2 linked regions of the Nothobranchius furzeri genome follow. The protein of the gene in region 2 purifies or fractionates together with the protein of the main gene of each other region. This does not show direct contact. Links are inferred from orthologs where the notes say so. Each region holds a gene or a part of one and is shown on either strand. Other genes may lie near its edges. The genes, in order: bcl7a and smarcd3b.

What was found.
Region 1: the proteins of smarcd3b (region 2) and bcl7a purify together in Homo sapiens (affinity purification with mass spectrometry; 4 studies listed by BioGRID and IntAct, counting the BioPlex papers as one, with this or other methods). This does not show direct contact. The link is inferred for Nothobranchius furzeri from reciprocal best matches to the Homo sapiens genes SMARCD3 and BCL7A.

What each region holds. Positions count from the first base shown.
Region 1 is NC_091746.1:40,383,482-40,387,920, forward strand, and holds the start of bcl7a (B-cell CLL/lymphoma 7 protein family member A), read left to right. Parts: upstream 1-1,623; 5' UTR 1,624-1,719; coding exon 1,720-1,811; intron 1,812-4,439.
Region 2 is NC_091747.1:45,542,985-45,547,571, reverse strand, and holds the start of smarcd3b (SWI/SNF-related matrix-associated actin-dependent regulator of chromatin subfamily D member 3b), read left to right. Parts: upstream 1-1,606; 5' UTR 1,607-1,741; coding exon 1,742-1,819; intron 1,820-4,587. UniProt on the Homo sapiens protein: Involved in transcriptional activation and repression of select genes by chromatin remodeling (alteration of DNA-nucleosome topology).

The sequences.
Region 1 (4,439 bases), on a different chromosome or scaffold from region 2:
AATCTAGAGTGAGTGATTATTTGTTGTGAGTTTCTTCAACACTTAAGTCTCATGTCCCATTTTCTGTCTCAGACATGCAGCTACCTCCACTGCTCCACACACACTAACCACGGACTCAAACAAATGTAAACAAAAGCTCTGATATTAAAATCCCTCCAGCTGACGTGAAGCAGGAAGAAAAAAAAACCTTACAGGTAGATGAACGCAAACCTTACTGTCGTCTCCATGACTGCAAGGTAGAGCGACAGCAGGGACAACCAATCACACGTTAGTATGTGCAGCAGAGCCAATCAGTGAGCTTGTAGGCGGGTCTAAGGGAAAATGGGCTCAGAATGGGCTTCAGCTTGAAGCGGCTGCCTCCGCATGGTCCTAGTGCCTGATATGTATCACAGTATAACAGTTTTGAACAGTAAAATCTGGCGAAAGAGCGGAAAAAGGATACTTAGGGTACTTCGGACAAAAGGGGCAGGTGCTCAAGCACCCTCCGGCCCACCCCCTCTACACGTGCCTGCTGCACATAAAATAAATCAAATTAAAGAAGGTACAAAAACTCACAAAAGATAAGTCAATCAAAGAAACAACATTTCGAAAAAGAGAAAAGCTGCCATTAGAATATACCTACAGAAAAAAACAAGCAGGAATTTAAATTAGCGAAACATTTTAAAACACCACGCAAAGCTTGTGCATTTTCCTGTTTTATATTTATTTGTCCCACTCCGGTCAAATAAATTCGTTTTTTGTTTGTTTTTATTCTCCATAAAAGCTGGCACCACTAGAGGGCAACATAGTCTTTTTTTAATCAATTTGACAGTAGAACGAGCTCATGCAGCCCTTAGATTTTCTCAAGACAAGTTGAATTATTTTTTCAAACTTTGCCACAGTGAATGATAAAATGAAACTAAGATCTAAGTTTTCTGATTTATTTAATAATCTCTGACATAAATTATGTATAAACATTTTAAAGGGGAAACACTAGGATGTAAAAACAAGCCTACTTTAAACAGACAGGATGATCCAAAGTGTAAAGATTTCTCAAACATGAGATACACAACAAGAATGAAGCCAATACTGAAAAAAACATCTTATTGATGACAACATTAAAACATGGCACAAGGAGACTAGAAAACTCTGTAAAGCTTAAAAACACAAATGCAAAAAATTTTCATTAAATAACTATGACACACAAAGGAGCCCAAATGCATTTAGTACATTAAAAAAATCCAAATCTGTTGGTTTGAATGCTAGGTTATTGCGATTCCAAGAAAAATATTGAAAATACAAAACACAGAGGCACAGAGAACAAACACAAAGAGGTAGTCACCATGGACAGAATACTTTATTCCTTTTTTTATTCTCGTTGTATCTGGTAGTGTGGGGCCTAACAGGAAACTAATGAAATTCAAGATTCCCCAAAACCCCTTTAAGCTGTGAAGATGCTCTGAAGGGTGAGAGTGGAGGGTTATTTCCTTTCTCTCCTTCTCTTCCAGATATGTGAGGCAGAATACGAGGCAGCGCGCTGCCTTTGTTCTGCTGCTGTCTCAGCAGGGAAACACATCTCTGTTCAGAGTGCAGCTGCAGCCGGCCTCTTTTCTCTCTCTCTCCCCCTCCTCCCCCGGTTCCACCAGGCCGCGCTTGCGCACTGGCTCCTCTGTGCGCTCTACTGTTTGCATTGTGTCTGAACTGCCGGCGAGCTTTAAAAATATTATACCCACCGCGGCAATGTCGGGCAGGTCGGTCCGAGCTGAGACACGGAGCAGGGCGAAAGATGACATCAAGAGGGTTATGGCCGCTATTGAGAAAGTACGAAAATGGTAAGAGAAAGAGGATGAAAGACTCTGCTTCGTTATCTAACAGGAGAAAGGCTTGCTTGTTGGGGGAGGAGAGGGAAAGAACGAGACGGAAAGAGGGATGAAATAGAGAGATAAAGGGTAGTTTTTGAACGGGCTTTTCGGCAGATGTACCGGCGGCTCAGGTGCACCGGAGCCGCCTCGGCAGGCTGTAGCCTCCCCACCGGTCGCCCTCTCCGCTCGCGCGGGGACACACTACATGTAGCCGGTGATTTTCCGTTGGTTTTAACGGCAAAGGGTTGAACCCAGAAGCCATTTCGATGCAGTCACATGAAGCCATTGCTGCCTGCCACCGAGCTGCTCGCGCAGGCGGCGGTTTTCGGAGCGCAACGACCGAAGAGTCTGGACCTGGAAACAATTTGACGACGGCGCTCTGGAGTTGGAGCAGTTTTGTCCGTCTGGAGTTTTAAATTAAGCGCTTTGAGTCGCCCTTTAGGTCTGATAGAGAACTAGGCTCGGTGGGGGTTGGGAGAGGGAAGTAGCTGCTGGGCTCTGAACACGTCAGTCTGCTCGCCTTTTTACACCTAAATCACATTTTGTTCACATCAAACCTCCAGATAACACGCGTTAGTTTCCAGGATGAGAGTTTTATCAGTTTGGAGTCGCGACTCTGCCTGCTTGGTGATTAACCAAAAGTCCACACAAAGCCAGAAAGTTAGATTGTCGCATAACTTTTTTCATATTTTCACTTTTAACATGATGAAGATCAACACAAAAGACACAAGTTTATACCTTTATATTGTTTTATTTTATCAGGCTTTTTGATGTTATTTATAAACATTTTCGTTTGGTTGATCTAAAGAGTGACTTTGTTCAGTTAAACAGTTATCCACGGAAGTAATGCACATTGAATTTTATTTTTATTTTAAACATTAAATGGTAATTTTGTTGAATTGTATTTTTTTTTCGCCCATTCTTATCTGAAGCAGACTTAATTGATAGTTCATTATTAGTTAATGGATACTAACTTTGCAAATGTTAAAAATTTCACTTTTTACATTAATTTATTTTGCAATAAAGGTAAACAGAAGTTGGAACAGGGATGTCCAAACTGTCCTTTCTGCCCACAAACATTCTTTTATTAATCAATTTATGTTAAATATGATGCAGTTATTAAATGTTTTTTTCATTCTCACTCAAAATAGGCCAAATACTCAAAAAAAAAAAAAAGAACTTAATGTGAACAGCGTGCTGGAGATAAAATTCCAACATTCTAGAATTGCATATTAGGGCCACACAAAATCAGTGTGAGGGCCACAAATGCCCCCTGTGGCTCTGGACCCATTCTACTGTGCTGTGGTCTATCGTCCACCTGGTCCAAACAGTTCTTTCCTTCAGGAGTTTAGTGACTTTCTATCCTCCACTGTGAAGCTGTCCAGACTGGTGATTGTTGGTAACTTTAACATACACGTTGATGATCCCTTTGATCACTTTGCCATGAATTTCGCCAGCCTCATGGACTCCTTTAGCTTTACCCAGCATGTTTCTGGCCCCACACACACCTGGGGACACACTCTGGACCTTGTTTTTATCCTGTAGCCGGTGTTTGTCTGAGGACGTTTATATTTCTGATCACTATTGCATTTTCTTTAACTTGTCCGTTTCTGCGTCCCCACCTCCTGCTCGCCATCTGGTTAGTTCTCGTTTTCTTAATGAGAGCACAGCTAGCAATTTTTCTGCTGCTTTTGATCCACCCTGTTCTTCTGATAATGACCCAGATTCCTGAACTTCTCAGTTTAACGAGCACTGCCTCTCCATTCTGGACAATATCTGTCCTGTCAGAACCAGATCAGTTCCTGCAGTGAACCCTACTCCCTGGTTTAATGACAGCCTTCGCAGCCTAAAGCGCCAATGCAGAAAAACTGAGCGCTTGTGGAAGAAAACCCATCTCCACGTCCATCTGCTGCACCTAAAGGATCTTCTGACATCCTTTAACTCTGCAGTCAGAGACGCTAGGGTTTCCTATTTTTCCCACCTGGTGTCCCAGAGCAAAAGGGAACCCCAAGGTGCTGTTTAACACCATCAGCAGCATTGTCTGTCCTGCCGGTGTCGGTACAAGATCTGCTCGGGTGCAAAATTGGCTCGGGGTCCGTCGACTGCCGATGACGTCTAAGTAGTTGATTGGCTGAACATGAACCTTACGGAATTACGCAATCATGTTATGTTGGTCCAGGCAAATCTTTCTGTTGGAAAGGTGGACAACTTTTACAAAGAAATCCATCATTACCTCTTTGAAAATACACTCTAGAGCTGCATGTATATTAGGGCTGAACGATTAACTGCATGTGCAATTAAATTGCGATGTGACAAAAGGAGATTTTCTAATCGCAAAGGCTGCAATTTGGCAGCGAGTGGTTAACGCAATGCTAATATACATGGAAAAACCCATAGGAATGCTAATGCTAATATCGCCGATTACATTATTACAAATTATGAATTAGAAACGTGCCAAATGATTACATTTGGAGTCTAATAGAAAGTAAAACTACCATCAATCAAATAAGTACAGACAGGTATTTTAGTAAAGCCAGAAAACTTTTAACTCCAGAGTTTTGGCTAGCATCTATGAGCGTAACTATACGCATGGACAAG
Region 2 (4,587 bases):
AGGTTGACTTGGTGCATCGCCTGAGCTGCAGGGTCTCTTTGTTATCAGTGAACGCCCACGTGTCGTCGCAGGGGAGAAGGCAGAATATAAATGACACAATATATACATGACACAATCTCTGGGTCTGTAGTAATAAGCTCAGCGGGTCGAGCCTTTGACCTTGTCAGAAATGGAGACCAATGCCTTGCCTCTCTAAATAATCGGCCAGCTCAGAAAAAAACATCTCTCATTTTCCAGTTCAAGTTGAGAGGAGGCTGTTGATGATTTTTATCAGCAATGAATTAAAAAAGGTTTAGGGGCTGATGAAGTGTCAGCAGCAGTGTACCTGTATCATCAGTAGGTGTCGCCATTGAGCTAATTAATGCTTCAGACAAGGGCAAGCGTTTACTACTGAAATATTTGGAGGAACATGTTGGCTTTTTGGAAATCTGTACCAGTTAACGTATTTAGGATTTATCTGGTGTCTGGGTTTGGTTGAACTAATAGATTTGACTTTAAAAAGTGATGATGTGACCTCTGACCCTCTCATCACATCTATTCCACAGAAATAAAATTTCCTATTAATCTTGATTATAAATAGAAGCAACCTTGTTATTTATTTTAATACATCCGTCATAAATGATTTCTTATTTGGAGATCAATGTTGGTCATAATTTCTTTCTTCCTGGACTTCTTTGTTTCGTTGCCTCTCTGACACCAGCAGAAAAACAGAAAAGGAAATGATAACGGTGACGATTTGCCTTCGCGTGCTCCGCTTCGCCTCCTTTTGTCATTCAGATAACCTCATGAATATTTCACCCCTCTGATCCAGCGGCTGGAGGAAAGCGAGGGGCTGGAGCGGTCAGGGTGTGGGGTAGCTCTGGTCTGAGTGTCGACCTGTGTGAGGATGACAGTCTGGATTATTCGGCTGTCTTCTCTTTAGTCCTTCTGCCCTTGAAAGGACGAGTGTGTGTAACAGCTTCAGCTTTCTGCATTTTTATAGATAATAACATCAGCGAAGCAGGAGATCCGGGCAGGGTTGAGTGTGATTGCTGGTGTCATACAGAGTCACCTTGCTGCCCTGGCACTGGGTGAGGGGTGAAAACCAGTGAGGTGACTGGGGGACATGCTCCCAACTTACCAGTGCAGCCCTCCTGAGTAAGTTAGTGTGTGAAGCTCTCCATCATGTGGCGACTTAATGAGATGCAGCGTGGCCCCTTTAAGACTCCATCTTTTTTTGAGAATGGGCCCAGAGTCAGGGTTCTGTGTGTGCTGACCGTGGCCTCTGATGGTCTGGGGGGTGGAGGGTGTCTTGTTTTAGACCAAACCTCTCTGCAACGCATGCCCTTATCTACCAATGGAATGCAACAGCTGTGTGGGGGGAGCGGCAGGGTGGGCTGGCTGAAACCCCCCTGCCAGACCCCTGCATGGCTTCTCCCCCTCCACACACACACACACCACCCTACTCCACCTCCAAGCGAGCGACGTGCCGGGCTTCTGAAAGGCAGCACAACTCAAAAGTGATCCAGACACACAGAGAGCGGCTCGGCGGGGCTGCTACACGCTGAGGGGGAGAGAGAGAGAGAGGGGGGGGGGAGGAAAAAAGGGAGAGGGAGGGAAGAGGGAGAAGGAGAGTCAGGGACAAGCAGTGCTGAAAAGGAGAGCACAAAGAGAAGGAAAGTGGAGCAGGGGAGGGGAACAGGAGGCTGGGTGAAGGGAGAGGGAAAGACAAAAGAAGGAGAGGGGAGACAGGACTGAGCAAATGGCTACGGAGGAGACGGCGGGGGGAGCCAGGAAAGCCACCAAGAGCAAACTGTTTGAGTTCCTGGTCCATGGAGTGGTGAGTGGCGCTGTCTGTCATTCCCATGTAGAGGAGCCGAGCTCTGGCATGCATCTGTGTGTGTGATGGTGTGGATGAGTCGGTGGAGCAGCGTGTGTGTGTGTGTGTGTGTGTGTGTGTGTGTGTGTGTGTGTTATAGCTGGGTAAAAGCTGGCCATGTGAAGGATATTTCCAGCCCCTCTGATCCGTCAGGAGATGGCTTGAGGAGGATGAGAAGTGGAGCAGCATGAATGGATGGCTCTGAGCGGGAGGGAGGATTTCTACACATGAATAATTGTAGAAACAGAAGCTAAGGCAGCAGCAGCTCCTCCTTTTGCTAACATGAGGAGGGAAATGACGAGGTCCTTCCAGAAGGCGAGATGCTGGCTTCAACCTGTGAGGTCATCAGATGGAGTCAGAGCAGACGGCTGATCCTGGAGATCACACCGAACAATCAGATCCTTCATGTAACACCAGCTCGGCTAGAGGTTAGGCAGCTGTGAGCTGACACATGGGGCAGGTTTGTTTTGGTCGACTTCACCTCATCTCCAACATTTATGGCAGCTTAAACCACTCCTGACCTCAAACCAGACAACATATTCTTATTTCCACATAAAATAAAGGATCTAACCAGGCGCATTTATTACATTTTGTGATACAGATTATAAAAAACTCTGATATTTGCCAATTAAGTGAATAAATAATGAATTAACTGGCAAGAAAGTATGAGAAGATCCTCAGGAAGCAACAAACTTAATATTATTGTTGTTGCTGCAGATAAATGATGGATTTAATGCTGTTACGGTCAAAGAAGGCATGTGAAGCATTTCTGTGTGATGGTGGTGAGCCTCAGCTACCAAAACACCAAATCCTGACTCAATAACTGAAAACAGCTGAGTTTGAGGCGTTGATGCGTTTTGGCTGTGGCGGCCATCTTGAATCAAGGTGACTCCAGAAGTTAATTAGCTGAAGATGTTCTTCTAATGAGAGTTGGATTCAAATCCATCCAGTTTGGGATTATTCTGTTTATTACCAACGCAAACCGGATGATTGAACAGTTTTCAAGACTCCTGTTAGAAGTTGAACTGGTTTAAACTGGTGAAATGGGAAATGGGCACAATCTTCCAATTCCATGTTAGGAATGATTCAAATAATGACCATTTCAAGCTTGAATTGTTTAAAAAAACACTCAAAATTTATAGAAACATCATAAAGTTATTGTAAAGCTTCATCTAAAGTTTAGTTTGAATCATTTGCTGTGCTTAATTGAAATATGCACTGATAATCTACATTATTTAATAAGATTTTTACAGGATCTGATGGTTTTCTCTAATGAAACGGTGAAAAACCGTCTCGTATCCATCGTAAAGGCTCTAGGTGATACTTTTATGCTTTAATCTGTGAAGTTTTCTGACTCGGTTTGGGTTTTAATCCACGCTTGGTTGATTAATACTCTGAAACCAGATGAGATGTGGTGTCTTTGACAGGAACAGTCATTAAAAGGGGTCTGGGTGGCGAAGTCCCGCGCTCGCAGACACATTTTAGGAAACAACGGAGCAGGTGATTGATGAGCCAGATGAATCCGTCCTCTCAACAGACCAATTAACCTTGATGAGTCTCTGGCTGCTCTAAGCCAAATATTTCTCTCTGCTTGTTTTCTCCTCTCCCCTTTCATCCTCGTTTCTTCCCTCATATTTGATGGAAACATCTTGTTTTTATGCAGAAATATTTATACTAAAAGATGTGGGATCTGGCTCAGTGTGTCAGCTTGTGGTGGACGATGATATTTTCTTTCCTTTAGTGGGGAAATGTAAGAAGAAAATGGCTTTTTGATGCAGAAAACTTGCTAAAACTGCAGCCTGTGGTTCTTATGCAGTTTCTCCACTGAGGGACTAATAAAGGTGTTCTTATTCTTATTCTTATGGGTCATTATCTCCTCTATGTCCCATCTCGTGTCTGTGGACGTACGGTTGGAGGAAAATCCTCCGTGAGAAAACCAAAGATAAGCCAACACGTGAAGTGGCACACTGTAGCTATGTTGTCTGCAAAATGTTGCACAATTTGTGCAAAAGTGAACACAGACTTGATTTTTCTCCCACGTTAGTCGTTCTTTAAAGGAAAAGTTCCCACAAGGGGAGTTTCTTCCATGTTTCTGGAGTTTTGGGGTAATCAACGTCTGAAAGATGCAAAAGATCTTTTTATTCTGGGTGATTATTTTTTTAAAGCCGTCGTCACGGTGATCTGGTCAGCAGCCATGATGACATCTTTCTGTTTCTTCAAATAATTAAATATTTGAATCATAAAATCAAACAAAAGTAAACACAAGCAAATCTAAAATGCTCATTAAACCAGATTTATTCTGCTGTTTACATGTGTTCAACTTTTAGAAATTCATTTATATAATAATAATATACAATAGAATATCAAAATAATTTCAATCAAATTAAATTAGTTTATCATTGTAATCTATCATTATTTATGAATATCTAGTCAAACAAAAATATTTATGAGAAATAACTAAGATTTAAGAAATTATAAGGTTTGTTTTATTTACTTAAATATTCTGATAGTAAATATTTAATATAAAATATTTAAATACAAAGTCAAATAACATGTTCTTAAAATAAGGAGAAATGCAGATATTGTTTATTTGAACTATTTGATTTATTATTTAATATAATTAAAAATAAAAAACAATTTTGGTTTTTAAATCATTAATAAATACATAAAACTAAATAAATACAATATATTTATACAAATATTTTTTTCACGTTTTTTTGCTTCTCAAT